Elephas maximus indicus: one gene and its partners. The protein of the gene in region 4 binds, or shares a complex with, the protein of the main gene of each other region. Links are inferred from orthologs where the notes say so. Each region holds a gene or a part of one and is shown on either strand. Other genes may lie near its edges. The genes, in order: MORF4L2, KAT5, RUVBL1 and MEAF6.

Region 1 (7,974 bases), on a different chromosome or scaffold from region 4:
GAGGACTGAGGCCAGGAGAAGGGAAGCACTTACCCAAGATTCTGTAATGAGGGATGGTTCTGTAATCAGGATCAGATCTTCTGATCCTTACTGTGCAACTAACTTAGCTTTTCTGATGATGACCTAGAAGGTCAAAGAAGGGGACAGGAAAGGACATAAAATAAAAAGATATCAGACCACGGTTTTCTTTTCCATCAATCAATGCATTTTATCACACACAAAGAACACCAAAGCTGATAAATATGCACAAATATTTTTTTCTTTCTTGTGGTTATATTTTCAAATCATGTACATTTAACCTATTTTTTAAACAAACTAATATTTAAAAACCATTTTATGAAGGAAAAAAAATCAAATGGACAAAAATTTAGATAGAATAGTATCACCAACCCACACGAATCTATCACCCAGCTTCAATTACCAACTGAAGGCCATCTTGTTTCATCTATAACCCCACCCACTGCCCCCCCTCCAATTTTTTAAGCACCAAATAGCTGATTTTTTATATTTCATTATGGAACATTTCAAACATACACTAAGATAGACAGAGTAATAACAGTCAGCTTAAACGATTTTTAACTTCAGGCCAATTTTGTTTTATCTACAGCCCTCTCCGCTCTCCCCTTCGCAGAAATTATTTTGAAGCAAATCCTAGTCGTCAACGTATTTCGAAGCCAATCCCAGACATTATATTATTTAATCTGTGAATATTTTAGTCGATATCGCTACAAGGTAGAAAATTTAAAACCATAACCACAGTATCATTATAACGCCTAAAAAATGATATAAATTTCTTAAAAGCCATAAAACATCGAGTCGGTGATCAAATTTTCCCTATGTATCTTAAACAACGTTTTACAGTTGTGTTCAAATCAGAAACCAAACAAGGCCTACTCATCGCATGTGGTTGATCTCCAGCTCGCTCTCGTTTTCAATCTTTTTTTTTTTTTACTTTTCAATTTGGAAAATTTCAATCCTATTCCGAAGCAAATCTCGGCGTATTGTTTCATCGATAACAATTACGCCTCTTACATCTCTAATTTCTTCGAGGGAAGTTGATGGGCAGGGAAGGCACTATAATGAGCGAATTTACATAATACATATTTTCTCATTCTGTTATGTGAGGCTTTATCTCCATAGTAATAATAATATCTACAAGAGCCAGGCTTCGTATTGAGCGCCTTATACGCACTATCATACTTAACCCTCGTACACGTCTCTGAGGTAGATACTATTATTATCACCATTTTACAAACATGGAAACCGAGATACAGAAAGAATCGGAGCCTTGCCCGAGCTGGGCGTTGGCGAGCAGGAATTTGAACCAGCTCTGACCGATTGTAAAGCCAGTAGCTGATTCTGTCTGTATATGTGTATATATATACCTTATACATACACAGGATAAAGGGAAATCACCAACCCTTCCTCCCCACCCCCACCCCGAAACCTGAAACGAGAATCCAGCTCTTCCCAACAGCCGACGTGTGATCACTGCCGTTCCTCCAACCGCCATAGTAAAGCCAGGTTTCTCTGGCAACTGATATCCATAGGCAGACACGTCATCCTAAAGGCGGGCTTATGCCCTTCAGCCAATCACATTCGTCTTGTCTAAGTTTTAGAATGTTCTATAACCAAATGATTGGACGAGGACTACCACGTAAGCAGTGACACTTAGCCGCAGTAAAGGCGGGTGCTAGTAACCTGCTTCTTCACGGTTAAGGCTCGGAGCAAACCAATCACCTTCCTTCTTTACTGTGAGCTGCAGCCAATCACATTCGCCCTCTTAGGTTCTTAGCCCACCCTCCAAAAGCGCGACAGCCTTTGGGTCATAAGTCTATAGAGCACAGTGTTCACGTGGCCTATTTTCACGACCCAGAGTTCCCTTGACCAGAAGGTTTTTTTTTTTTCTTTAGAGAGGCATTATGGGTCCCCCCCGCCACACTGGGAAAGGAAGTGTCTACGTGGCCTGCGGAAACGGGACGGCGGAAATGAGCTAAGGTTCCCGCCGGTGGGGAAGCGCGAGGTCAAACCTGGGGCCACGCCCCCCAACCTCTTGCGCAACTCGGGGGGGGGAGGCGGGGGTGTTTTTAATATGCGTGTGAGTGGAGGCGGCGGGTGGCTCGGGCGCGTGTCGTTGGGGCCTGTGTGTGTGCGCGCGCGCGCAGGCGAGCTCGCGTGGCCTGGGGGTGTGCGCCAGCCTGCGCCCTTAGCTTTGGGGCACGGTGTGTGTCCCTGAGTGGGGTTGGTGTGAGTGTGTGTGTGTTTACCTATAGGTGAGCTGCACTATGTTAAATTTAGGTAATAAGTGTGTGGGTGTTTATTATAGCAATTGTTCTCTACTTTTGTATGTTTGAAAATTGTTCTAAAAAAAAGGAAAATAAGTCAAGCGGATAATAACAAAGGGCCTCTGTTATATGAAGTATTTTGGTTTCTCCTATTGACTCAATTTTAGACCCTTCCACGTTTTGCTCGGTGCCAAAATCCTGCTCTAAATCACATCTCCCCATTGCACAAGAGCCAAACCCTCCCGTTCCTCTATTAGCAACTCCAAGGGGCAGCTCCTTTCATATTCCCCAATATCCTCCTCCCATCCCCGCCCGCCCTTCCCCCTACCTTCCCCCGCCTCCCGCCCATCCCTCGACTCTTCTCTCCCTTCCCCCCCTTCGCGCCCTTTCCCCCTCTCCATTGTGTCCCCCGTCCCTTTTCCCCCCTTCTCAGGACAGCTCCCTGCTCCCTGCCCCTCTCTCCCATTCCCACCCCTTTCTCCCTGCCCGCCCCCTAGCCCCGCTCGTCCCCAAAGTTGCACGCAATTCCCCTAGTACAAATATAATTTTCTGCTGGGATAATCAATATACGACTGCCTCTCCCTTCACGAAGGACCGTAAATTTCTGTGGCGGCTGAGGAACTCTTACCTTTTTGTCCTGACCACCAAGCACAGTGCCCTTCAAGCGAGTACACACACAATTAATTTTCCAGAAAGTTCTCTGGATGAGGTTTATACCTCTCAAGTCGGCCACTAGATGTCGCCAAATCCTAGCAAAGGATTGGCTATTTGGTCCCTGGAATTATGGGATTTTGTCCTCCCGTGTTTCTGATTTGCTGAACTCTCCAATCTCCAGTGAGTATATCTTTCTTTCGTTTCTAGGGGGAAAATGAAGCCAACCTCTGTAAATGGCCCTAATAGGCAGGGGACCATGGCCCAAGATCCAAATGCTTTTCTTGTTTCTTTCCTTCTTACCTCATCCCTTAAAATTTTTTTTTCCTTCCTCATTCCTCTGTCTTCTTTCTTCCATGCCTTCTTTTTTTAGGGAAGTGATGAATGATACTAGGCACTGATGCTGATGAAGATTCTACCCTTTCTGTTCACCTTCTTCTCAAATGTTAACAACCCCCCAAAACAGTACACAGAGGGCTGTTTAGTCCGTAAAGATAGATTAAAAACTCTGAGGTAAAACTTGGATCTGGCATTGAAAACTGATCTTTTCTCATGACAATTTTATCACACGTGTGTATGTGCAGTGGTACTGCTAAACTTTATTATGTCTTTGGAGCCAGAGACCTTTTAATCTCTATGTCACCACTTTATAGCCCTGTGACTCTGGGCAAATGATTTATGTTCTGTGATTCTCAGTTTTTTGCATGCTTTCTATATTTTAGATGCGGTGTTGACCTCACATGGATATTCTCATTTATTCCTCATAAAATCCCTTTTAGGTGGGTACTACAAAATCAAAATCCAACAACAAAAATCATTCCTCTTTGAGTTATCAATCATATATACATTATGTGTGTATGTCGGTCCGGGGTCGTTTAGAGCAGTGGTTCTCAAAGTATGTTTCCTGAACTAGCAGCTTTAGCATCACCTGGGAAGTTGTTAGAAATTCGGATTGTCAGGCCCCACTCAGCCCTGTTGTCTGCCGTTGAGTCGATTCTGACCCATAGAGAACCTTTAAGACAGAACTGCCCCCATAGCGTTTACCAGGCTGAAATCTTTACAGGAGCAGATAGCCAGGTCTTTTCTACCGCAGAACTGCTGGTGGGTTCAAACCACCGACCTTTTGGTTAGCAGCCAATCACTCAACCACTGAGCCACCAGGCCTCCTCACTTCAAACCTACAGAATCAAAAATTCTTGGGGTGGGGCCTGGCAATCTGTATTATTAGAAGCTGTCCAGGTTATTCAGATGCACACTAAAATTTGAGAACCAGCGCTTTGGAGGGCAGAAATGCAATGCTTATTTTGCACATACCACTAGAGGGTGCTACAGAATTTAACGCAAGATAATAAACAATTAATTTTTTTATGCTTATTGAGACACTCTGGATTAGGAACTAATGTGTAAAAAAAAAAACCCAGTGCCGTCAGGAGGTGTCAAATTATTTCCCCAAGTGCACAAACAGATATGGGAACCAGGATTTGAACTGTATCTGCCTCTCAATCCTAGCCCTTAACATTATTGTTCAATTTATAGCTTGTCTCTGGGCCTCAAAACACATTACAAATACTTTCTCTCTTCCTTACTTTGGCTAATGTTAACTAGAGAGACAAGGAAGGGCAGGGAAGCAGATCAATTAAATGGAGATATTTTGATGATTTTATACCCTTCTCCATCTCCATTCTATAATTGGATATCACATAAAAGCTCATGAGTGTTTCCCTTCTTGCTTTTGTATTTCCCAAATGCTCTGTCTACCCTGAAGTTGTTTCTTTTTTAGTTTATGTCTGAATCTCTTCCATGTGTAAGGGAGGAATCATAGTGCTGAGGGAATAAAAGTTCTCGAAAGCCTAGTATGGACCCCACTATATAGATCTATACCCATTAATTTCAACAAGAGGTCTGTCATCATTTTATAGATGATGACAGTGAGTTCCAGATATTTTTTTACTCAGTCATACAATTTGTAAATGGTGGAACCTAGATAATACTAGGTATATCTAACCTTATTACCCTACTAAGCTTTCTACTCCTACGTTTTGAATCTGGTTTAATTACTTAATACTTAAGTGACTTTCAACAAGTTCTTTAACTTTTCTGAGTCTCAGTTTTACCATAGATTAAATGGTAAAAAATATTCGTGCTTCATAATCTTTGTTGTTGTTGTCGAGTCAATTCCGACTCATGGCGACCCCATGTGTGCAGACTAGAACTGCTGCGTAGGGTTTTCAAGGCTGTGATCTTTCGGAAGCAGATCTCCAGGCCTGTCTTCCAAGGCATCTCTGAGTGGGTTTGAACAGCCAACCTTTTGGATAGAAGTCAAGCGCTTAAATGTTTATGTCCCCCAGGGAGCTGTACTATCCAGTGTTGTAGCCGCTAGCTACATGTGGCTACTTAAATTTACATGAATTAGCTAAAAACTTTAGTTCCTCAGTCACAGTAGCCAATGGCTGTATTAGACAGTGCAGATATACAACATTCCCACCATCATAGAAAGTTCTATTGGATAGCACTGATTTAGAGAATATAAAGTATGTAAAAGGGACTAAGGAGACCTGGTGGGGTCACAGTTAAGTGCTCAGCTGCTAACCGAAAGGTTGGCGGTATGAACCGACCCAGCAGCTCCACAGGAGAAAAGACTTAGCGATCTGGTCTGGTAAAGATAAAAAAAAAACAAACGGGTTGCTGTCTAGTTGATTCCAATTCATAGTGACAGCCTAGGAAACCTTATGAGTCAGTTCTACTCTGTCACATGGGGTCATTATGAGTTGAAAATGACTGGGCAGCAGCTAACGACAACAACAAAAACCAAAACCCATTGCTGTCGAGTCAATTCCGACTCATAGCGACCCTATAGGACAGAGTAGAACTGCCCCACAGGGTTTCCAAGGAGCGCCTGGTGGATTTGAACTGCCGACCTTTTGGTTAGCAGCCATAGCACTTAACCACTGTGCCACAAGGGTTTCCTCAACAACAAAAGGGCCTAGCACAGTGCACTCCTCATGGCAAGTGCCCAAGAAAAGTGATTTCCTCTGCTTTTTTCTTTCGGAGGTGTTAGGGGTGTTCTGTTTTATTAAGGTGGTCAGCTGAGAGGAGTAACTTCCCCAAAGTACTATAACAGGATGTGTCTGGCACCAGGGCCCACATCTCCTGACTCTTGCTCCAGTAGGTCTGTCTAGCAGACCCATCTTTATGCTTTACTGGGAGAAGTTTCAAGGCCAAGAGTGTGAATGACATGAGTTAACTTTGGAGTCAGGGTGGTAGCAGAGAAGGGCATGGGAACTGAATGCCTCCTACGTGCCAGGCAGCACTAGGCTCAGCTCTTGATATCTGTTATCTTAGTGAATCCTAACTGAAGCCCAGAGAAGTTAAATACTTACCTGAAGTTGCTCAGATAGTAAATGACAAAGATTCAGATTTCTCTGTCTGACTTTAAACCTACCCACCCAGTGCCATAAAGTCAATTTCAACTTATAGCAACCCTATAGAACAGAGTAGAACTGCCCCATAGGGTTTCCAAGGCTACAATCTTTACCAAAGCAGACTGCCACATCTTCCTCCTGCAGAGCGGGTGGCTGAGTGCTTAACCACTGGGCAACCAGGGCTCCTTCATCTGACTCCAAAGCCCATGCTTTCCCCATTATGCCATGTTACCCTCTCAAAAGTGAATACAATCCGGCACCCTCCACTTACTTGTAGGAAAAAGCTTCAGCAGATTCCCGATTCTTAGTAGATCCTCGGAAGATAGAACTTACTCTTCTTCCTTTTGAATTTACAGCTGAACAACTGTCTTCACAGTCCCTTTCAACTGGAAAGGAAAGATAGCTTTGGTTAATGTTTGTTTGGCTCCAAGGCCCAAGGCCAGACAGAGCTATTTATGGTCTCAGCCTTCACAGGACACTCAATGGCTCCAAGCACCCTGTGTTTATCTTCAAGGCCACCATTAGCTCATACAATACCTTTGTGCTAGTTAGAACCATGTGCCTGCCTCCTGGCTCCAGATAAATTGCAAAAAGGTATCCACTCCAGTGAAATACTTTAAAAAATGCTTTTCTTTCTCTGCGATGTTGCAGTCTTCACCAAAGGATGAATTTCTGCCCCAACTTGTGCTCTCTCAGTTGGACACCCTTGTGTAGTGTGCAGCCTGCCCATCAGTATCTGCTGGCCTTGCTTGTCTTGCCTAGAGAGCCTTCCAAGGTCTGGAAGGCAGTGTTGATCTGTTCTGGAGGGTGGGGAGGAATGCCAGTGTCCTGTTACGGATTGAATTGTGTCCCCCAACCCCAAATATGTGTGGGAATCCTAACCCCTATACCTCTGGATGTAATCCCATTTGGGAATAGGGTTTTCTTTGTTATGTTCATGAGACCATATCAGTGTAGGGCTTGTCTTAAACCTAATGAGTTTTGAGGTATATAAAGAGCAGGTTAGACACAGAAGCAAGCAAGCATAAAGTGGGGATGACAGAAACACATGCGAGGATCTCCAAGGAACCTAGGAACACGGGGCTTATGGAAGCTGAGACAAATATCTTCCCCGAGCCAACAGAGAGAGAGACAACCTTCCCCTAGAGCCGGTGCCCTGAATTCAGACTTCTAGCCTCTTAAATTGTGAAGAAATAAATTTCTGTTATAGCCGCACTAGATAACTAACACACGTCGCATGGCTGTGGGTAGGAGAGAAATGTCCATTCTAAAGGTTAATTCGATATATATATTCTCTCATTTGGTTCTGACTAGCTTATTAGATGATTTTAAAAAGAATGTTTGGTCAACTTAAAAGTCAAAAACAAAACCTAATACTTTAAGGCTAAGCAAAATGGTATTTCTTTACTAAGGATTTTTTTGTTTATCTGTTTATACCTGCCTCATTCCAAAGGGATTTCATAAAACCAGTTCAGCAAATTTGTCTGGATCAGACTGGTTTGCTAGCCCAAGGCAGATAGAACAAAAGATGAGAATAGTCACGAGGAAGCTTTATCCTTTTAGGGGTATCTGTTCTTTTCTAGCTCTTCTCTCCTTTTGTAACAGAAACCCGAATG
Region 2 (7,413 bases), on a different chromosome or scaffold from region 4:
TTTTATGGGCCTAATATTTGGCTGAAGGATGAACCTCAGGCGCGACTTTGGTACTGAGCTAAAAGGGTATCGGGGGCCATACTCTCACGGTTTCTCCAGTCTCTGTCAGACCAGTAAGTGTGTTCTTTTTTTGTGAGCTTGAATTTTGTTCTACATGTTTCTCCATCTCTGTCCAAGACCCTCTATTGTGATCCATGTCAGAGCAGTCAGTGGCAACAGCCAGGCACCATCTCATTGTGCTGGACTCAGTCTGGTGGAGGCTGTGGTAGTTGTGGCCCATTAGGCCTTTGGACCAATCTTTCTCTTGTGTCTTTAGTTTTGTTCATTCTCCCTTGCTCCGGACGGGGTGGGACCACTGGAGTATCTTAGATGGCCGCTCACAAGCTTTTAAGACCACAGACGCTACTCGCCAAAGTAGAATGTAGAACATTTTCTTTATAACGGACATGCCTTTTAGACCTCCTGAGTGGGCAGCGAGAGTCTGGAGTTCAGGAGAGGTCTGGGTTGTAAATAAAAATTTGAGAAGCCTCAGCCCATGGGTGATATTTAGGCATGAACTTGGGGATCACCAAAGAAGTGAATATGGATAAAAAGATGAAGTCCAGGGCTAAAACTGGCACATGTGAACTGTCTTGACCAGCTTATACACAGTACAAACTGTTGTGGAATTTCCCAAAAGGGAAATTTTAAATGATTGGTTGTCATTCACTTAGCCGGTAGGAGGCAGTTTGACTTGCTTTATTAAGTATTCACGTATGCTATGGCCTAACGAATGAAACTGTCTTTATCACAAGTTTTTAGTTTCAGTGAATGGCTAAGAGTTAAGTTGAGACAGGTAGGGGGAGCATTTTCTTTAACAGAATGTTTAGAGGTCAGAGACAGGAAGAGAATCCAGTAAGACGATGAGCAGCCGGGGAACTAGGAAGGAAATGAGGACGGTCCGGCGTCTGGAAGCCAAGAAAAGAGTGTTTCAAGGGAGAGGAGTGACCAATGATGTCCAATGTCACTAATAAGTAGACTGAGGAACGGCCATCGGATTGAGAGTGTGGAGGTCAACATGGAGTGGCAGCAACTGAAACTGTGTTTACCGCATACGTAGTGTGCACAGACATTTCCTGACCGTTATCAGCCAGTGAAAAATCAATTTCAACAGTCTTCTGCTTGGTATCCTGTTCTTGTCTTAGCCCCTCCAATCCAAGGACACAGCCACCAGGGTGGTCTTTCTAGAATGCAGATATAGTCATTCCCCATTAACATCTTCAATGTAAGTCAGGCCGGGGTGAATACATGGAAACTCGCAAGTATACAGATGCTCACTCTTTGCAGTGTTGTAGTAGCAGGAAATTGGACACAACTTGAATGTCCAACAACAGGAAATTGGTTATGGCAGCTAAGGTGTTTCTAAATGAGGAAACATTATATGGCCATTAAAATACTAGAGAATATTTAATGACAAGCATTCAATTTATATTGCTGAGTGAACAAGCTGATCGCAGAACAGTATACGTGGTAAGAATCTATTTCGTGTCAAACAGATATAAGCACAATAATCTAAAACAGGTTGGCAAACATTTTTTTGTGTAAAGGGATGTGTGGTGGTGTTACAAGAGCTTGTTGTCGTGTTGCTGTTTTTGGTAAATGCTAGGTAGCTAACATTTTAGGCTTTGTGTGCCTTACTATCTCAAACGCAACTACTCAGTTGTAGCACAAAAGAAGTCAGAGGCAAAATGTAAACAAATGAGTGTGACTGAGTTCCAGTAAGACAATTTACGGACACTGAAATTTGAAATTCATGTAATTTTCACGTGTGACAAAATAGCCTTCACTTTTCCCCCCATTTAAAAACGTAAAAACTATTCTTAACTCCTGGTTTGTAGTGGATTGGATTTGTCATAGTTTGCCAACCCCTTGTCTAGTAGATATTCAACCAAAACGCTCACTGTGAGCAAGGTTACAGTACCCACTCCCCCACCCCCACCTCTTACTATGTCTGTTTTTTTTATTAAGTTTGCACACATTCTATAGGCTAGTTATGACTTACCTAATTATTTAAACTTTCCCCAAAACTGCCTTTATCACAAGTTTCCAGTTTCAGTGACGGTCTGAGAGTTAAGTTTAAATAGGCGGGGAGGGCAGCATTTTCTTTAACAGAATGTTTAGAGGTCACAGACAGGAACTTAACCCAATAAAGACGATGAGCAGCCAGGGAACTACGAAGGAAACGAGGAGAGTCTGGCGTTCTGGAAGCCAAGAAAAGAGTGTTTCAAGGGAGACAAGTGACCAATGATGTCCAATGTCATCTTTCCCCCCAAGTATACGCATGACTCACCCTCTTGTTCCTTTAAATCTCTGCTCAAATAATACACTCCAGCCAGGCCTCCCCTGCACATCGTATTTTAAATTGTAACCTGCCTACCTGTATCCTACCCATGTATCCTGCTCATTGATTTTGCTTCCCATAGCACGCTAAATTTGCTTTTCTAACTATGTGTATCATTTACTATCTATACCACTCTTTTCCCTCTCAGTCCCCAAGAAGGTAAGCTCCATGAGGGCAGGATCTTTATTTTGTTCACTGATGTATTCCAAGTTCCGAGAATAGTGCCTAGCACATGGCAGGGCTCACTTAGTATTTGCTGGATGTATAAAAGGATTGAAAAAAAAAAACAACAACACAACCGGCTGCTGTCAAATGAATTCTGACTCACAGTGACTCTACAGGACAAAGTAGAACTGCCCCATAGTTCCCAAGGAATGCCTGGTGGGTTCGAACAGCTGACCTTTTCGTTAGCACCCGTAGCACTTAACCACTATGCTACCACGGTTTCCATGAAAGGGTAATAGATGTATTATTTAAAAAATCAGAACCTAATAGACAAAATCAAAGCAAAATTTTACTTGTGTGTGATATTAATGATATTGTTCGATAATTTCCACCTTCTGTTTGATCACCATTCTTTGGAGTGGGCACAAATATGGATCTCTTCCAGTCAGGTGGCCAGGTAGCTGTCTTCCAAATTTCTTGGCATGTATGAGCGCGCACTTCCAGCACTGCATCCTTCTGTTAGAACATCTCAATTGGTATTCTGTCAATTCCTGGAGCCTTCGCCAATGCCTTCAGGCAGCCTGGACTACTTTTTTCAGTACCATCAGTTCTTGACCATTTGCTACCTTCTGAAATGGCTGAACATCAACCAATTCTTTTGGGTATAGTGACTCTGTATGCTTCTTCCAACTTTTTTGATGCTTCCTGCACCATTCAATATATTTCCCATAGAATCCTTCAATATTGCAACTCAAGGCTTGAATTCTTTCCTTCAGTTCTTTCAGCTTAAGAAATGCTGAGCATATTCTTCCCTTTTGATTTTCTAACTTGAGGTCTTTGCACACTTCATTATAATACTTTCCTTTGTCTTCTCCAGCCTCCCTTTAAAATCTTCTGTTCAGCTATTCATTTCTTCCATTTGCTTTAGCTGCTCTATGTTCAAGTTTCAGAGTCTCTTCTGACATCCATTTTGGTCTTCTTCCTTTCCTTTTTAATGACCTCTTGCTTTCTTCATGCTGCAAAAAGACCTCTTTAAAGTGTTAAAAAGATGCCAGTTTAAGGATTAAGGTGTGCCTGGCCCAAGCCGTAGTGGTTAAGTGCTACGGCTGCTAACCAAAGGGTCAGCAGTTCGAATCTGCCTAGGCGCTCCTTGGAAACTCTATGGGGCAGTTCTACCCTGTCCTATAGGGTCGCTATGAGTCACAGTCGACTCCAAGACACTGGGTAAGTATGACCCAAGCCATATTTTCAATCACCTCACAGGCATGCATAAAGCTGGACAATGAATAAGGAAGATCAAAGAAGAATTGATGCCTTTAAATTATGGTGTTCGTGAAGAATTAAACATACTATGGACTGCCAAAAAATAATGTCTTGATAGCACAGCGAAAATGATTCTTAGAAGGGAGGATAGCGAGGCTTCATTTCACATACTTTGGATGTGTTATCAGGAGGGACCAGTCCCTGAAGAAGGACACCATGCTTAGTAGACGGTCAGCAAAAGACAGGAAGACCCCGAGCAAGATGGACCGACACACTCGCTGCAACCATGGGTTCAAGCATATTAAACTTGGCCCGGTATTCGGGCCCTGCAGAGTTTGAGCCCCACCCACTCATCCAGCCTCCCAAAGTACGTATTATTCTGTCCTGCAGGCCCGCCCCGCCGCACCGACCCCGCCCCCCACCGAGCACGCGCAGTTCACTCTCCGCGACTTCTCCTGCTGCCACCAGGAGACGCCCGTGCACGGCCACAGGTAAAAGCTCAAAACACTCGTCCCACGTGACCCGCGCCTCATCCACATGACCAGCGTCGCACCCGGTGGGCGTCACGTGACGGACTCAGTTTTCCTCCAATCATTGGGCACGGGATGGAGAGGCCACCCAGGAGCCGGCCCGAGGCTTAGAAAGCCCCTTTCTCCAGCCAGCTGAACGGGCCGGCTCCCTGCTTCCAGCCGGGCGGTAGCATCCCTCAAGGATCTCGCTTCTCAGGTGGCTTCGCGGAGCCCGGGCCTGCAGCTCCCTCAGCCCCGGAAGTGACGCCGCCCAGAGGAGCCGGAAGTGGCAGTGGAGGGAGGGAAGATGGCGGAGGTGGTGAGTCCGGTGCCTGGGGCGGGGCGGAGGGAGCCAGGGGAGGTGGGTAGGGCCCGAGGCCCCCCAGTAGCCGACCCTGGCGCCGCGCTGTCTCCCCAGGGGGAGATAATCGAGGGCTGCCGCCTGCCCGTTCTGCGGCGGAACCAGGACAACGAGGATGAGTGGCGTGAGTGACGTCGGGAGGCGGGGCTAAACAACCTGAGGGCGAGGGGCGGGTCGGATCAACCGAACCCCCGGGAGGGGGAGGGGCCACTGGAATCTTGGGGCGGGCGGGGCGCAGGCACTCCGAAGGAGGGGCGTGGCGTGTAGCTGCTTGAGATGGACGGGGCGGGGCTTGGAGAAGGGGTGCCATTTGGAGACTAAAGGGGACTTGGGTGGGAGCTTCCAAGTGCTGGGACTAGGGGATCCGGGCTGGGGGTGGAGTTCAGGTCGTGGCAGGGTGGAGCTTCGTGGCCGGGCCCTCTAAGGCTCCTGCCTGTGCTATTCCCGCAGCCCTGGCCGAGATCCTCAGCGTGAAGGACATCAGTGGCCGGAAGCTTTTTTATGTTCACTACATTGACTGTGAGTTCTGGGACCGGGTGAGGTGGGGCTGCGGGTAGGGCTGGGGAGCAGCCTCTGGCATCCCTTCCTGAGCCATCCCCATTGCTGCAGTCAACAAACGTCTGGATGAATGGGTGACCCACGAGCGGCTGGACTTAAAGAAGATCCAGTTTCCCAAGAAAGAGGCCAAGACCCCCACCAAGAACGGGCTTCCTGGGTCCCGCCCCGGCTCTCCAGAGAGAGAGGTGGTGAGTAGGTCACCTGCTTCTCCTCTTCTCTCCTGCCTCCTACTGCTCTTGTCTCTTGGCCTCAGGGGCTCCTGGATGGGCAGGAGGCAGTAAGCCTCTCACCCTGGCTTCAGCCTGCAAAGGACGGGGCCACATTGCAGTCATAGCTTCCAGAATCCAGTGGCTATTTCTATGCCCTTGAGAGGGCAGAGGGTGGGGTTTGATCACTTGGTGCTGAGGGCCCCCTCCTCCCCTGCCCCATTCCACCACCATGGCAACCCAGAGGAAGACCCTGGACCTATTTCTACAGCCGGCCTCCGCCCAGGCCAGCGGGAAGACCTTGCCAATCCCGGTCCAGATCACACTCCGCTTCAACCTGCCCAAGGAGCGGGAGGCCATCCCCGGTGGCGAGCCCGACCAGCCGCTCTCCTCCAGCTCCTGCCTGCAGCCCAATCACCGCTCTACGGTACCCTCAGCAATTCCAGGGACCTTGCTTTACTCTCAGGTCCCACGTTCTCTACCTTCTGACCCACCTTTCTTGGTTTCTCTCTGCAGAAACGGAAGGTGGAGGTGGTTTCACCAGCAACTCCGGTGCCCAGCGAGACAGCCCCAGCCTCAGTTTTTCCCCAGGTGAGTACCCCAAACTATCCCTTTTTCCTTTTCTCTCTTTTATCGTTTGGTAGCCCTTTTAAGGTTATGTCACATTCGGCTCTTCTATTCCTACTGTTTCATTTGCAGAATGGATCAGCCCGTAGGGCAGTGGCCGCTCAGCCAGGACGGAAGCGGAAATCAAATTGTTTGGGCACTGATGAGGTGGGTCTGGGGAGCAGAGGAAGAGGAAAGCTAGGGGTAAGGGAGGGCATGTGGGCAGGGGGAGTTTAGTGCCTAGTTTAAAAAGAAACAAGGGAGGGCTAGGTGGCAGTGGTGTCTGATATCTGCAGCCAGGTGTAGAGCATGTTTCAGACCAGTCATTTGGTGATTTCAGGGTCTCAGTTTCTTCGTTTGGAAAGTGGGATTATAGTACTTTTTTATAGTGTTGCTGTGGAAGCTGTAGTGTCCTGCTTGAGTCATCTCTCGTAACCTGGTGTTTTCTACTGGCCCTGGGCAGGACTCCCAGGACAGCTCAGATGGAATTCCATCGGCACCACGCATGACTGGTAGCCTGGTGTCCGACCGGAGTCACGACGACATAGTCACCCGGATGAAAAACATCGAGTGCATTGAGCTGGGCCGGCACCGCCTCAAGCCGTGGTACTTCTCCCCGTACCCACAAGAGCTCACCACGTTGCCTGTCCTCTATCTCTGCGAGTTCTGCCTCAAGTATGGCCGGAGTCTCAAGTGTCTGCAGCGTCACTTGGTATGAGGGGCCCCAGGAGGCTGCTCTCCCAGCACCTCGTCCTGCCCCCACTCCTGCTTCTGACCCTCCTTTCTTCCCCAGACCAAGTGCGACCTGCGACACCCCCCAGGCAACGAGATTTACCGCAAGGGCACCATCTCCTTTTTTGAGATTGATGGCCGCAAGAATAAGGTCAGCAACTGAGGAGCAGTGGGGTGTCCTTGGAGCTGGTGGCCTGGGACACAGGAAGTTGAGCAGTTTCTTCCTGCTTAGGAAAACACTCACCAGTCTGGCCAACATGTTGGTTCAGCCCATTTTTATTGAGTACTAGTAGTGCTGGGATGTACTAGGATGACCAGAAACTAGACAGTCTCTGCTGAGACCCCGTGGCCCATGGGAAAGTCCTGCCAATGGCCTGTGACATCCCAGAGTGACAAGTGTCATGAGTCCAAGGGTGGGTTACCAGGACCCTAAGGAGGTAGTCCACAAAGCTTCACAGTGGTGATCTTTGACGTGAGAGGATTCTGAGCAGTGAGATGCTGAAAGGCAGGCCTGCTGTACAAGGATGGTGTGTGTGAAAAGCTGAAAGGCAGGGAAGATAGGAAGGTGCAAGGCTCTTAGAAGGGACAGAGTTTAGGTGGTGGAAACAAGGTCAGTAGGGGTAGCAGGGGCAC
Region 3 (6,981 bases), on a different chromosome or scaffold from region 4:
ACTGCAGTTAAGAATCAATGGCATACACTACTAGCTGGCCATCAGTAAACCATCCCAGAACACTGCACAGCAGATGGAAACGCTGCATATGAAGTTGAACCTATGACACAAGTTCCTTTCAAGTGCCTTTTGAATCTTGAAGAGTAAATTATTTTATCACTTAGTGTTAGTTCACTTTAAACATATTCTATAAATGGACTACCAATCATATATTTTACAATATTTGACTATAAAGGAGCAAAGGTAGGAAAGTCACATTCACAGGGTGGCTTCATGCTAAGGGGAAACCTGGTGGCATAATGGTTAAGAGTTACAGCTGTTAACCAAAAGGTCAGCAGTTTGAATCCACCAGGTGCTCCTTGGAATCTCTATGGGGCAGTTCTACTCTGCCCTGTAGGGTTGCTATAGGTCAGAATTGATTCGGCTCCAACAGGTTTGGTTTTTGGTTTTGTGCTAAGGACTACATGATACCAGGTTTCTCACACTGAATTCATAATATATGACTGGCTAGAAGGTTCATTTGCCTTGTCTGAGGGAAGGCCACAGTTCTCTCTGGGCAGTGACCACACATGTACTGTATTGACAGGGCCCAAGAACACATCCTTTCTTCTCTACCACTAGGTAGCTCCCTGGGATGGGGTCCACATCTTCTTGTCTCTTTCTTCCCTATGGCCTATGGAGAAGTACCTTGGTCCTCTCCAAAAATGTGTTCAAGGAATGTGTGTGGGTGTGCTATATTCCATTTCTGGCTCAGTTGGCAAGGCAGTGCCCTTAACAGAGCCTAGAAGCTCTTTTTCATATGCTGTATTTCTAAGACGATAAAAGAGCCACTATGGTCTGTTCACAGAATTCTGTGATATCATAATCCTCAGCATCAGAGCTCTTTGGGAAACTCAAAAAGACAGAAAAGGGAAAGACTTTCCAAATCCTGAGTATATACTACTCTTCTTTACAGACTAGATCCTCTTCCATTTAATCTTCCTTAGTTTAAGCTCCAGTTTCTCTCCAGTGAGACATGTTCAATGAACCTTAAAATTTAAAAAGAACTGGAAGAACCTCAAAATATCACCTGGTCTCATTTTTCAGATGTGGACATTGAGCACCAGGAAAGATGCTGATATGACCAGGTAGCTGAGAGAAGTCTTCAGATAACTACTAATTCAATAAATAAATACCGAGCCCCTATGAGCCAGGTTCTGGGTATGTAATAAATACTAGTCCTTACTGTCACAGTGGTATGATGCATCAGTGAAGAGCACGGATTCTGCAGTAAGGTAGACTTGTTTAAATCCTTGCTCTACCACTTACTAGTAGTGACCTCAGACAAGATAATTTACCTCTATGAACCACAATTTCCTTTTCTGAAAACGGAGTCCTTAATAGTTAATGGCATACAAGCTAAAAGATGTCCGCAACTTATTTGAAATACAAAGATGGATTGGTGGATGGACAGACGAACGGATGGGCAGATGTGTGAAAAAGCAATATAGTAAAATGCTAATTGTAAAATTCAGGCACATAGTATTCAATGTACAAATCGTCCAACTTTTTTGTCTGAAATTTTTCATAATAAAGTGGAGGGAAGGCAATTAATACTAGGTTTGAAGTGGTAAACAAGATAATGGAGATAAAACTGCTCAGCACAACGCCTGGCACATAGAAAGTACTCAACAAATGTTAGCTATTTGCAGTAGCAAGTCCTCAGTAAGCTGAAGCTGGATAAAGGCAAGTTTCAAAATCATCTTGACCGTGTCAGTGTTTGCTTTTTGGAAAGATGATGCTCAAAATGGAAACTAGAGGCTTTTCTTTGGCCCTTTTATAGCACAATCAGGCTGTGAAGCAAGCCTCTTAACCTCATATTTAAGTTCAGGTTCTTGTAGCTGCCAGGCCATGACAATGACCTTAGAGCAGGCAAGCTGAGACGAGGGCTGTGTGATCAGAGAGCACCGATTTGGGAGTCAGACATACATTCGGGTGCAATCTCAACTTTACCATTACTAAGCTGAGTGGCAAGTGGATAGGTGAAGTGACCTCTCCTGCCCTCAATTTTTCCATCTGCCAAAAAAGAAGAAAAAACAAAGGGCTCGAATAGTGTGTGATTACGAGCTAAGTGAAAGGTTTTGGCATCACAGCCACTTAATAAAAGTGGACTTAGTTATAATGGTCAAAGGAGATGCCTGGAGGGGCTTGCTTATAAACCAGATGGCTCCTCTCCATAACTTCCACTCCCTCCCTCAGCTCCCAGCCCTTAGGAACCTAAAGGGACTTTTTTAAGGAAAGTCACTTCCTCGCTTAAGAAAAATCCGTAGCCTCCAAGTGCATTCACAATAAAATCCAAATTCCTCACCATGGCCAACGAAGCTCTGAAGTAACTGACCTCTGCCTACCAAAATAATTTTTGCTTACTGGTTTATACGTTTATCGTCTTGTAAGCTCCACGGGAGCAGGAACGTTATCTATCTTGTTTCCAGGTGTATCCCAGGGTCACGAATGGAACCTGGCACGTATTAGGTGGCTCAATCAAATACGTGCTGCTTCAAAGGGTCGAATCTAACACTCAACAGTCCCCCTGTAGAGTTGTTACCGGTTCTACTGGGACCGTCCCTCTCCCAGCCCAGTGTCGTGCCCCTCTTGATTCGCGTAGCCTATACCCACAGCCCTTAACGCAAATATCGGGCGAGACCCTCAGCGCGCAGCCCAGCCCCTTAGGCGCCCCCCAAACCCTTGAGCTCCCCCAGCTCAACACCGTCTACTCCCCGGCTCGCGGACCACACCTCTCGCGCGTTTTCCTGGCCCACCAGTCCCGAGGCCGCCTGCTTGGCCAAGCCACTCTCGTCCAACCCCAGCCCCTTCACGTGGCTGTGGGAGGCGATGCGCTGCGTCTTCGTGGTACTTTTCACCTCCTCAATCTTCATCTTGCAGACTCGGGGAGTCGAAAAACAGCAGCGAGTACCACGCGCCAGGCGCTCGGGTTACCATGCGGCCGTTACTAGGGCGGTTCGCAAGCGCCCGCCTTGGTCGGCGCTCTACTGGAGGAGGTGGGATACACCTCTACTTCCCATTGGCTCATCAGGGCTGCCCGTGGGGCTCCGCCCATCCACTTCCGGCTGTGTCGCTGGATGCGTTCCCCGGCAGTCGGCGCTTCCTGCCCAGGCCAGGGGCGGGAGGTGCAAAGAACCCGGAGTTGGGTCCCGGATGCCAGTTCTAATCGTGTAACCCTATCACGGCGTACGGTAGTCGCTGGCGGTTTTCGGCTCCCGGCGTCGCAATTAAACGTCATACCTTTATGCGAGGCTCGTACCCGTTTTGGAGATAGAGAAATTGAGGCTCAGATTTTAAGCTTTAGTTTTTGGTTACTATCCAGTTTTCTGACACCTAATCCATGCTTGGAACCCCTGAGATGCACAAATGGTTAAGCGCTGGGCTTCTAACCAAAAGAGTAGCAATTGAGTCCACCCAGAGGCTCCTGGGAAGAAAGGCCTGGTTATCTGCTTCCTAAATATCCCACCAAAAAACAAACCCATTGCAGTTGAGTTATCACGACTCACAGCGACCCTATATTGAAAATCTAATGGGGCACAGTTCTACTCTGACATACTTGGGGTTACCATGAGTCAGAGTCTACTCAATGGCAACTGGTGTAATGCATACTTTACTTTGCATCTCTGTTCAGGATCATCTCCGTGAAATTGTCTCCCTCTGCTTCTGCTCACCTCCACCTCCCCCTTTATTCAAATTAAGTTGATGGTGAGTAACATTTTGCAGTTTGCAAAACTCTGCAGCCCTGCGATGTATCACCCCTAATACAGAAAAAGATTCAGGCTAAAAGAGCCCCAATAACTTGCCCGAGAACACAGCAAATAATTGGCAGAACTGGAACTCCAGCTGAGGATTTCAGAATTTCAACCTGTGCAATCCTCTTCCCACCCCGCTACTTCAGCCAGGACAATTGGTCAGGGAGAATGTCCTGTCAAATTCCGTAATGATATTAACACTACCTGCACCAGACATTCAACACCTTCAGTGAGCCAGACACTACAACGCACTGGGGATATAAAGACAAAATACAAGATCACACCCAAGGACTTTACTCCCTGCTTGGGAAGTGAGATGTGCTGGGACAGGTACAACTCAGGTGGTATGCAAACCCAGAGCAGGGGCTCCTGAACAGCCTGGAGACCCAGGGAAGTGCTGAATCCTGTAGAATGGGTAAGACTTCCTCAGAAGCAGATGGTATGCCATCATTTTACAGATGAGGAAACTGAGGTCCAGGAAAAGGGCAGCACTTCCCTGAGTTTAAGAGAGCTGTAGTCAAATTCAGCTGTAGCAGTCCCCAAATCTCACACCTCTTTGTACTTCTCCTTCATAATTTTCAAATCTAAGTTTGTAATTATTTGCATAATTATTGGGTCAATATTTGTCACTGCCACCAAACCTTAAGCATTATGAGAGTATAAACCACATTTGTGTGCCCATCATTTTACCCCAGTGCCTGGCATACAACCTGGCTTACAATCAAGGCTTTGAATGAATTCAAATAAAGTTCTAGCCTCCCTCTCCCCCTCCTATACACACACACACACACACACACACACACACACTTGAATTCATGCAATTTTGATGGATGTATTTTACAAACTTGGTTTTATGGCCCTTGGTAATGGTTTCTGCCAGCAAATGGGGTCTTCTGGCACTTTCAGAGCCTGAAACTGCAAAGGTGAGGCCTTGGAAGGCTGAGCTTGTCACTGTTGGCCTGTGATTCAGCAACCCTAAGGATATCACCCCAGAAAGCCCACAAAGATGCTTAGTGTCTAATTGCTGTACTCCTAGTCATTACCCTTAAGTGAGGACCAGTTCCTTTGGAGAAGGAAGTTTTCCCCTAAGCAGTAGTCAGAGTGAGGTACTCTGTGAGACTACTTCTTTGCATATTGTCCAGTTGGGGGAGAAGATCTTTTTACATTTATCCTTTTAAGCGCCAATTTTGTCTCTGCGTCAATAAGCAAAATGAAGGATTGTCTTTCAGTCAAATATTGGTGGAACTAAGGCTCAATTTTAGAGCTCAAAGGAATCCCTTGGACCACTGGTCCAGTGGGACCCCAGAGTTATAGAGTTCTTTCTCGGCTAGTACGGGAGGGGAAGGGGAAGACCGATAGTGCAGATAGCTCCATGCCCTCCTCCCCCTTCCACCAGAGCTTTTCCATCTATTTACTCCTAGACAACAAATTGAAAACCACTGATCTGGACTAGCATTCTCATTTTTGGACCCAAGAGAGGCCTGGGTTTGCCCCAAATCACAAGGCCTAGAACCCATATCTCTGCCTCCCAGTGTGAAAAGATCTAGACCTGGTTTCAGAGTTAGACCATTTATTTTCATTTCAACAGACGACCATGTGGCAGACCGGAGCCTAAGATACACAAGGTAAATGAATATGAAGAGCAGGTGAAGCCCACAGTAGTGGATACAGGTTACTTCTGCCTACCCAGCATCCATTACCTTGTGTTCTGGTCTCTGTACCCTAATTTTCTTTAGGAACCCCCCTCCCCAACTTTTTGTCCAAGGAGTTTGGGTAGGCTGATCCCAACCTGCCCCAGCTTCAGATGGGATACTATCAGAGTATCCCATCTCCCTGGCCCTATTCAGGAATGTGAGCTAGTGGTTCAATGACACTAAATCCCAGCACTCTTACTGGAAATATAAAAACATGTTCTCTTCTACACGGGTTTTCAGGCTAGTAGCTGTCTTTGCCAATTCACGGAGACACCCAACTTGAAAATGAAGACAAGAGAGAGGAAAGCAAAGCTGAGAGAAAGGGATTCCGGACAAAATCCTTTGCATCCCTGGATCCAGCCTTGCCTTACTTGCAGTGTAACACGGTACTTACTTTGGGGCCTAAGGTTGTTTGAGTTAGATTTCTGTCCAGTGCCACTGAAAATCCGGATGAGTGCAATGACACATATACAAGCAAGTGTGTGGACTATTACGTTCCAGAAATTGTGCCATGTGATAACCAATCCTGCCAGCTCTTTCATTCCCTTACTCCCATGACCCTTGCTCTTTGACTTCCAGTCCCTCAACCTCTATTTTCTCCAGTCCAAACTCCATCATTTCAATCCACTTCCCAACCCTTCTGCTCCCTCCTTGCCTTGACTTCTGCCACACCTGCCCTTTGAACTGTCAAGCATATGTCAAGTCTACCTCTGTCTTCTCCCTTCCTTGAGGGGGTTGCTGGGAATGGCTGGAGGAAATCACCCAGTGGCCCCCTGAAGTCATTACACAGTCATGGCTTCCGGCCTCAGCTGAGCCCTCAGAGCTGCCCAGGGTTGCGTTATTCAGGATATGAGTTCTGTTGCACTAACAGATCCAAAACAATAGCAGCTTAAACATAAACGTAAGGTTCAGGAAGGCCTTCCAGTTGATGTGCTGGCTCCACAATCATGAAGGACCTATACTCATTCTATCTTGTTGCTGCACCACTCCACACATGCCTTCCATCTCGTGATCCAAGATGGTTGTTCCAGCTTCCCCCAAAAGGCTGTATTTGGGCCAGAAAGAATGAGGAATGGGGGAAATGGAGGACTTGTTCCTTCCGTTTACCCTTGACCTTGAAGTTGCACCATCATATCTACTCATAGTCCATTGGCAGAACTTGATCAAATGGCTACAGCTAGATGCAAGGGAGGCTAGAAAATGCAGTCTTTATTTCAACTTGAGCCCAGCTAAAAATTCTAGTCCTATGTAAAAGGGGAAAAAGTAGATTGGGAGACAATTTCTAGTCTCCACCCTAAGCTGCTTCTAAGTGCCAGGCACTGCTGAACTTTCCTTGTATCCTGTCTCAAAGGCAGGTATGACCTTCCTCCTGGCCAAAGTAACCCTACTAACTGGGTTCCAGACGACAACCTGGAACTTCCTCCACCTCTCAGAGGCCTACCTCCACCTATTACCTTCTTTTTCCTGTATTTTCATACATTTTCCCTGATCAT
Region 4 (7,428 bases):
CTGAAGGGTGACCTTCAGGAGTGACTTTAGTACTGAGCAAAAAGTGTCTGGGGGCCATATTCTCAGGGTTTCTCCAGTCTCTGTCAGACCAGTAAATCCGGTCTTTTCTTGTGAGTCAGAATTTTGTTCTACTTTTTTCTCCAGCTCTGTCCAGGACCCTCTATTGTGATCCCTGCTAGAGCAGTCGGTGGTGGCAGCCGGGCATCACCTAGTTGTGTTGGACTCAGTCTGGTGGAGGCTGTGGTAGTTATGGTCCCTTCTGTCTTTGGTTTTCTTCATTCTCCTTTGCTCCTGATGGGATGAGACCAGTGGAGTATCTTAGATGGCTGCTCACAAGCTTTTAAGACCCCAGACGGTACTCACCAAAGTAGAATGTAGAACATTTTCTTTAAAAACTTTGTTATGCCAATTGAGCTTGATGTTCCCCAAGACTGTGGTCCCCAGCCCTCAGCCCAGTAATTTGGTCCCTCAGGGGATTTGGATGTGTCTATGAAGGTTCCAAGACCTTGCTTTGGTCAAGTTGTGCTGACTTCCCCAGAATTGTGTACTGTCTTACCCGCTACCAAAGTTACCACTCATCTATTGTCTAGTTTTGGAAACCCTGGTGGCATGGTGGTTAAGTGCTATGGGTGTTAACCAAAAGGTCAGCAGTTCAAATTCTCCAGGTGTCTCTTGGAAACTCTATGGGGTAGTTCTACTCTGTCCTATAGGGTAGTTATGAGTTGGAATCTACTCGATTACAACGGGTTTGATTTTTTTAATTGTCTAGTTAGTGTTTTTCCCACCTCAGGGCTCCCTTCCTAGTAATAAAGATCATTTCTTTCTGTGTGTAAACCTTTTCATGAGTCTTTATAATAGCAGCCTCATACAGTATTTGTCCTTTTGTGATTGACTTATTTCACTCAGTATAATGCCCTCCAGATTCATCTATGTTGTGAGATGTTTTGTAGATTCATCATTGTTCTTTATTGTTGCACAGTACTCTATTGTGTGTATGTGCCATAATTCTATCCATTCATCTGCTGACGGGCACTTAGGTTGTTTCCATCTTTTTGCTATTGTGAACAATCATTGTTTGATTTCTTGACTGCCCCTTCCATGGGTGTTGATTGTAGATCCAAGTAAAATGAAGTCCTTGACAAATTCAATATTTTCTCCGTTTGTCATGATGTTGTTTATTGGTCCAGTTGTGAGGATTTTTGTTTTCTTTATGTGGAAGCGTAATCCATACTGAAGGCTGTAGTCTTTGATCTTCATCAGTAGGTGCTTAAGTCCCCTTCACTTTCAGCACGCAAGGTTGTGTCCTCTGCATATTACAGGTTGTTAATAAGTCTTCTTCCAATCCAATCCAGTATAGTTCATATACTTCTCAGATTATTTGCTCAGCATACAGGTTGAATAATATCATGAAAGGATACAACCCTGACATGCAGCCTTCCTGATTTTGAACTATGCAGAATCCCCTCATTCTGTTTGAACGACTGCCTCTTAGTCTATGTTCAGGTTCTGCATGTGCACAATTAAGTGTTCTGGAATTCCCATTCTTCGCAATGTTATCCATAATTGGTTAGGATCCACACAGTTGAATGCCTTGACATAGTGAATAAAACACAGGTATTCTCTGCTTTCAGCCAAGATCCATCTGACATCAGCAACATCTTTTGTTTTACCTCCTCTTCTGAATCCGGCCTGTAAATACACTGCTGCATCCATTTTTTAATCATCTTCAGCAAAATTTTACTTGCGTGTAATATTAATGATACTGTTCGATAATTTATGCATTCTGCTGGATTACATTTCTTTGCAATGGGACAAATATGGATCTCTTCCTGTTGGTTGGCCAGGTAGCTGTCTTCCAAATTTCTTGGCATAGACAAGTGCTTCCAGCGTTGCATCCGTTTGGTGAAATATCTCAATTTGTATTCTGTCAGTTCCCAGATCCTTGTTTTTCACCAATGCTTTCAGCGCAGCTTGAACTTCTTCCTTCAATACCATTGGTTCTTGATCATATGCTACCTCCTGAAATGGTTGAATGTCAACCAGTGCTTTTTGGTACAGTGACTCTGTGTATTCCTTCCATCTTCTTTCGCTGCTTCCTGTTTTGTTCAGTATTTTGCCCATAGAATCCTTCAATATAGCAACTTGAGGCTTCAGTTTTTCCTTCAGTTCTTTCAGCTTGAGAAGTGCCAAGCATGTTCTTCCCTTTTGGTTTTCTAACTCCAGGTCTTTGCATTTTTATTATAATACTTAGAAATCTTTTCAGCTCTTTTACTTCATCATTTCTTCCATTTGCTTTAGCTACTCGATGTTCAACAGCAAGTTTCAGAGTCTCTTCTGACATCCATTTTGATTTTTTCTTTCTAATGACCTTTTGCTTTCTTCATGTGTCCTTTATGTCATCCCAAATTCGTCTGGTCTTTGATCATTAGTGTTCAATGCTTCAAATTTATTCTTGATATGGTCTATAAATTTGGGTGGGATATCCTCAAGGTTGGATTTGGCTTTCATGAACCTGTTTTAATTTTCTTCAGCTTCAACTGAACTCGTTTATGAGCAATTGATGGTCTGTTCTGCAATCAGCCCCTGTCCTCATTATGACTGATAATATTGAGATTTCCCATTGTCTCTTTCCACAGATGTTGCTGACTTGATTCCTGTGTATTTCATACAGCGAGGTCCAGGTGTATAGTTGCTGTTTATGTTATTGAAAAAAGGTATTTCCAATGAATAGGTCATTGGTCTTGCAAAATTCTATCATGCAATCTCCAGCGTCATTTCTATCACCAAGATCCTATTTTCCAGCTACTGATCCTTCTGTTTCCAACTTTGACATTCCAATCATGAGTAACAATGCATCTTGATTGTATGTTTGATCAATTTCAGACTGCTGAAGTTGGAAAAAATTCTCAATTTTTTCATCTTTGGCATTAATGGTTGGTGTGTAAATTTGAGTAATAGTCATATTAACTAGTCTTTCTTGAAGGCATATGATATTATCCTATCACTGACAGCATTGTACTTTAGGACAGATCTTGAATTTTTTTTTTTATTATGAATGCAAAGCTGTGCTTCAATTTGTCATTCCTGGCATAGCAGAGCATATGACTGCCTGATTCCAAATAATCAATACCAGTCCATTTCAGCTCACCAATCCCTAGGATATCTGTCATCAAGCATTCCATTTCATTTCTGACAACTTTTAATTTTCCTGGATTCATACTTCATACATTTCATGTTCCGATTACTAATGGATGTTTGCAGCTGTTTCTTCTTTGAGTCATGCCACATCACCAAATGAAAGTCCGGAAAGCTTTACTCTGTCCAGGTCATTAAGGTTTACTCTACTTTGAGGAGGCAACCTTCCCAGTTGTATTTTGAGTACCTTCTGACCTGAGGGGCTCATCTTCCAGCACTGTATCAGACAATGTTTTGCCCATTCATAAGGTTTTCACTGGCAAAGTTTTTTTTTAGAAGTAGATTGCCAAGTCCTTCTTTCTAGTCTGTCTTAGTCTGGAACCTGTGCTGAAACCTGTCCACCATGGGTGACCCTGCTGGTATTTGAATATCAGTGGCATAGCTTTCAGCATCACGGCAACAAGCAAGCCACCACAGTAGGACACACTGACAGATGAGTGGTGTACTGTATTATGTATGTTCTATTACTACCTCCATTTTACAGATGAGGATGCTGAGACAGTGAAATTTAGTTACCTGCCAGAGGTGGCACAGCTTATGAGTGGACAGGTAAGATTTTCAACCAGGTAGTTCTGGCTCCAGTTTGTGCTCCCTACATAATACTTGTTTCTCTAAAAGGGTAACAGGGCAGCCATTGAAAGATTTTAACCACAAGAATGACATCGGATTCCATTTTGAAAGATCACCCTGGCCTCACTGTGGACAATGGATTGAAGGAAGCTAAGAGTGGAAGTAAGGAGGCTATTGGAAAAATGTAGTCAAAAATAGGGAGGGCCTGGATGAAATGGGGAGGTAGCAGAGGCGATAGACATGTGAGTGGATTTGGGAGCTCTTCCAGGGTCCACAGGGCTTGGTTTTTGGATCAGATTAGGGGGTAAAGGGAAGGATGATACCCCGGTTTCCAATTCTGGCAACAGGAAGGAGAGTGAAAATCATTCACTAAGGTGAGGAACACTGGAGCAGACTTAAGTTTGGCTTGGGACGTAGTCACCTTGTGGTATCTCTAAACCCCAGTTGTCAACTGACGGGTAGAGCTGCGGCTAGGAGAACGACCAGAAGAAGCCCGGACCCCTGGACCCTTCCAAGCTGGGTTTGCGAGCGCCAAAGGGCCAGAGCACCCCAGGGCCAGAGCACCCGGCGCCGTGGCGCGCGGCTCCGGAAGCCGCGCGCGCAGGCGCAGTGCAGCGGCGGGCGCCCCCTCGCGGGCCGGCCGCGGCGCGCAGGGACCGCCCCCAGCCTCCCGCCGCCGCCGCCGCCGCCGCCGCTGCCGCCGCCGCCGCCCGCCTCTGCCCAACATGGCGATGCACAACAAGGCGGCGCCGCCGCAGATCCCGGACACCCGGCGGGAGCTGGCCGAGCTGGTGAAGCGGAAGCAGGAGCTGGCGGTGAGGGACTAGGGCCGGGAGCGCCCAGGTTGAGGCTTCGCGCCTGCCCCCGCCTCCGGGTCCCAGGCCAGCCGCGCCAGGCCGTTACTCCGGGGACGCAGCGCGGCGGGACGAGTCCCGGGACCTGGGACCCAGCTGCGCATTCCGCGGCCTGCGGCGGCTCCATTTCCCGGTTGCGCGGGTCCGGAGCTGGGCGCCGGGGCCGGGCCTCGGGGCCCGGGGGCGGGGCGCGGAAGCCGGGGAGGGGGAGGGGGAAGAGGAAGGAGGGGGGCGTGGAAGAAGGAAGCGGCCGGGGCTGGGGGAGGGTGCGTGGGACTCGAGAAAAGGCGAGTGTCGGTGAGCTCTGGGGGTGAACGCGGTGTGTCCGTGGCCCTTGGAGGGGCGAGGGGGGCGGGCGTCCCCTTGATGTTTGAGGAGCGGGGGGCGGGCGTGCCGGTGGGCTGTTGAGTGGTTGGTTCGGGCTTGTCCGTGGGCTTTGAGGGGGATAGGGTACGAGGCACATGTGGGAAGGACACCCAGTCTGGCCTTAGGACGATGATAGGGGGTGTGACCTTTTGGGGACTAGGAGTAGATCTGTTGGATGGGATTTTTGATGGGCAAGGGTTTGGTTTGTTTGGGAACGTTTGGAAGGTGACAGATGAGGGGAGACTCCGGCTAGGGAATTGGGAGTTGTGATATTCATCCAGGGTCCCCTGAGCCTTGGTGGATAAGACACTCCTCCCCGCGTTTTGGATTGGGCATGGGGGAGGCTCATCTCACCTGCAGCTGCCCTTCCAGGTTTCCATAGCAACCGGCAGCCTAGTCCTGGCAGCCTAGTGGGCTGGCGGCCTTTCAGAGCCTGCGGGGAGGGGAGGCGTTGGCGCTAGAAGGCTCTTCAGCCATCCTTCTCTCTGGTGATACCTTTTGTGCCTGAGAGAGGAGACTGCCCATGTTCTGCTTCAGCGGGGGTTTTTCACACCTGGGGTTCCATGAACCCTTTAATGTATATGCAGAATTAAGCATGTATATGCATTTTTCTGGGGACAGAGTCTGTATATTCCATTCTCTTCTCAGTGTGGTCCATTACCCCAAAAGGTCAAGACTGCCTTAGACCGTAACAATCTGCCCCTGCCATTATCCTCTTTCTCTCCACAAGGGTGTTTTACTGTAGTTGAGCTTAGGTTTATAAGTCTCATATCAAAATTTCGGTTTGGTCAGACTTAATGCGTGCTTTTAAAAGGCATTATCCATTTCCCTGTTTTTCATCTACCAGGAAACACTGGCAAACTTGGAAAGACAGATCTATGCTTTTGAAGGAAGCTACCTGGAAGACACTCAGATGTATGGCAATATTATTCGTGGCTGGGATCGGTATCTGACCAACCAGAAGTGAGTGTCAGCAGCTGTAGTGTTCTGTAATGTGCCCTAGTAATATTTGTTTTTAGGACTATATGTTTCTTGGTAGTAGCTTTGTGGGCAGGAGATCAGGACTTGAACTCTGGCTCAGCCTCACTGCCTCACTGAGTAACCTTGGACAGATTCTACATCTGTAAAACAGAGAAAGCCAGCCTATGGCACAGGGTTGTGTGCAGTGTAAATGAAATACAACATGGGGAATAGTGTTTTCCACGTTTTAATCAGTCATGAGTTCCACCTTCACAGCTTTTGCCATACCTGGGTGCACACTGTACCACTATTTATGTAATAATATTATTATTTAAAAATTTCCCAACTTTTCGAAAATTTTCAAATCTATAGAAAAGTTGACAGAATAGTACATAAGCACTGGCTACCCTCCACCTACATTCTAGCATGTTGCCACATTGGCTTTTTCTCTCTTTGTAACATATATAAACACATACCAGTACCAAAACGCCAAACCCATTGAGCTGATTCTGACTCATAGTGACCCTGTAGGACAGAGTAGAACTGCCCCATAGGGTTTCTAAGGAGTGGCTAGTAGATTAGAACTGCGGACCTTTTGGTTAGCAGTCGAGCTCTTAACCACTGTGCCACCAGGGCTTGAAATACATATCTATACATAATTTAAAACAACTTTTTTTATTTTGAAATAATTGGAGATTCACAGGAAGTTTCAAGATGGTAGAGGATGGTCTGGTGTACCTTCACCCAGTTTCCCCCAGCAGTTACATCTTATGCAGCTACATTATAATATCAAGACCAGAAACTGACATTGATATAATGTGTGTGTATAGTTCTGTAGATTCGTGTAACCACCAGCACAATCAAGATACAGAACTATTCCATCACCACAGAGATCTCCCTCATACTCCCTCTTTATCATCATACCCACTCCCTCCCCCGTACACTGTTTATTTCCTAAACCATTTGAAAGTTCAGTACAGATGTCATGGTATTTTGCCCATAAGTATGTCAGCATGTACTGCCTAAGACTAAGACTGTTTCTCCTACCTGGCTGCAATTACCTCACCTAGAAAATTAACATTATGTTAATAGTGTCATACACCGTCTTTATTTAAATTTCCAATCATCCCCCGAATGCATTGTTACTTTGTTTAGATCCTGAATCCAGTCAGTGTTTAGTCATTCCATTTGGTCATTGTGTCTATTTAGTCTGTTTTAATTTAGGAGAGTCTCTAACCCTTGGTTTTTGTTTGATGACATTGTCTTGTAGAATGCCCCACCTTCAGGATTTTTGTTACTGTGATCTCATGAGAAACTCATAAACATTCTTGGCAAAAATGCTGCATATAGGTGATGTTGTGTACCTCTTGTTTAAAAAAAAAAAAAGGCAAATCCCTTGCAGTAGAGTCGATTCCGACTCATAGTGACCCTATAGGACGGAGTAGAGCTGCCCCGTAGGGTTTCCAGGGAGCAGCTGCTGGAT

What was found.
Region 1: MEAF6 (region 4) and MORF4L2 share a complex: the UniProt entries of both Homo sapiens proteins name them as parts of the nuA4 histone acetyltransferase complex. The link is inferred for Elephas maximus indicus from reciprocal best matches to the Homo sapiens genes MEAF6 and MORF4L2.
Region 2: MEAF6 (region 4) and KAT5 share a complex: the UniProt entries of both Homo sapiens proteins name them as parts of the nuA4 histone acetyltransferase complex. The link is inferred for Elephas maximus indicus from reciprocal best matches to the Homo sapiens genes MEAF6 and KAT5.
Region 3: MEAF6 (region 4) and RUVBL1 share a complex: the UniProt entries of both Homo sapiens proteins name them as parts of the nuA4 histone acetyltransferase complex. The link is inferred for Elephas maximus indicus from reciprocal best matches to the Homo sapiens genes MEAF6 and RUVBL1.

The regions. Positions count from the first base shown.
Region 1 is NC_064846.1:54,508,329-54,516,302, reverse strand, and holds the start of MORF4L2 (mortality factor 4-like protein 2), read right to left. Parts: upstream 3,005-7,974; 5' UTR 2,914-3,004; intron 2,024-2,913; exon of another isoform or gene 1,830-2,023; intron 1,613-1,829; exon of another isoform or gene 1,448-1,612; intron 124-1,447; 5' UTR 34-123; intron 1-33. UniProt on the Homo sapiens protein: Component of the NuA4 histone acetyltransferase complex which is involved in transcriptional activation of select genes principally by acetylation of nucleosomal histone H4 and H2A.
Region 2 is NC_064825.1:128,857,520-128,864,932, forward strand, and holds the start of KAT5 (histone acetyltransferase KAT5), read left to right. Parts: upstream 1-4,395; 5' UTR 4,396-4,624; coding exon 4,625-4,802; intron 4,803-5,128; coding exon 5,129-5,197; intron 5,198-5,287; coding exon 5,288-5,424; intron 5,425-5,713; coding exon 5,714-5,869; intron 5,870-5,958; coding exon 5,959-6,033; intron 6,034-6,141; coding exon 6,142-6,216; intron 6,217-6,511; coding exon 6,512-6,760; intron 6,761-6,841; coding exon 6,842-6,931; intron 6,932-7,413. UniProt on the Homo sapiens protein: Catalytic subunit of the NuA4 histone acetyltransferase complex, a multiprotein complex involved in transcriptional activation of select genes principally by acetylation of nucleosomal histones H2A and H4.
Region 3 is NC_064838.1:42,481,023-42,488,003, reverse strand, and holds the start of RUVBL1 (ruvB-like 1), read right to left. Parts: upstream 3,018-6,981; 5' UTR 2,916-3,017; coding exon 2,775-2,915; intron 1-2,774. UniProt on the Homo sapiens protein: Possesses single-stranded DNA-stimulated ATPase and ATP-dependent DNA helicase (3' to 5') activity; hexamerization is thought to be critical for ATP hydrolysis and adjacent subunits in the ring-like structure contribute to the ATPase activity.
Region 4 is NC_064821.1:79,102,333-79,109,760, reverse strand, and holds the start of MEAF6 (chromatin modification-related protein MEAF6), read left to right. Parts: upstream 1-4,428; 5' UTR 4,429-4,490; coding exon 4,491-4,580; intron 4,581-5,832; coding exon 5,833-5,948; intron 5,949-7,428.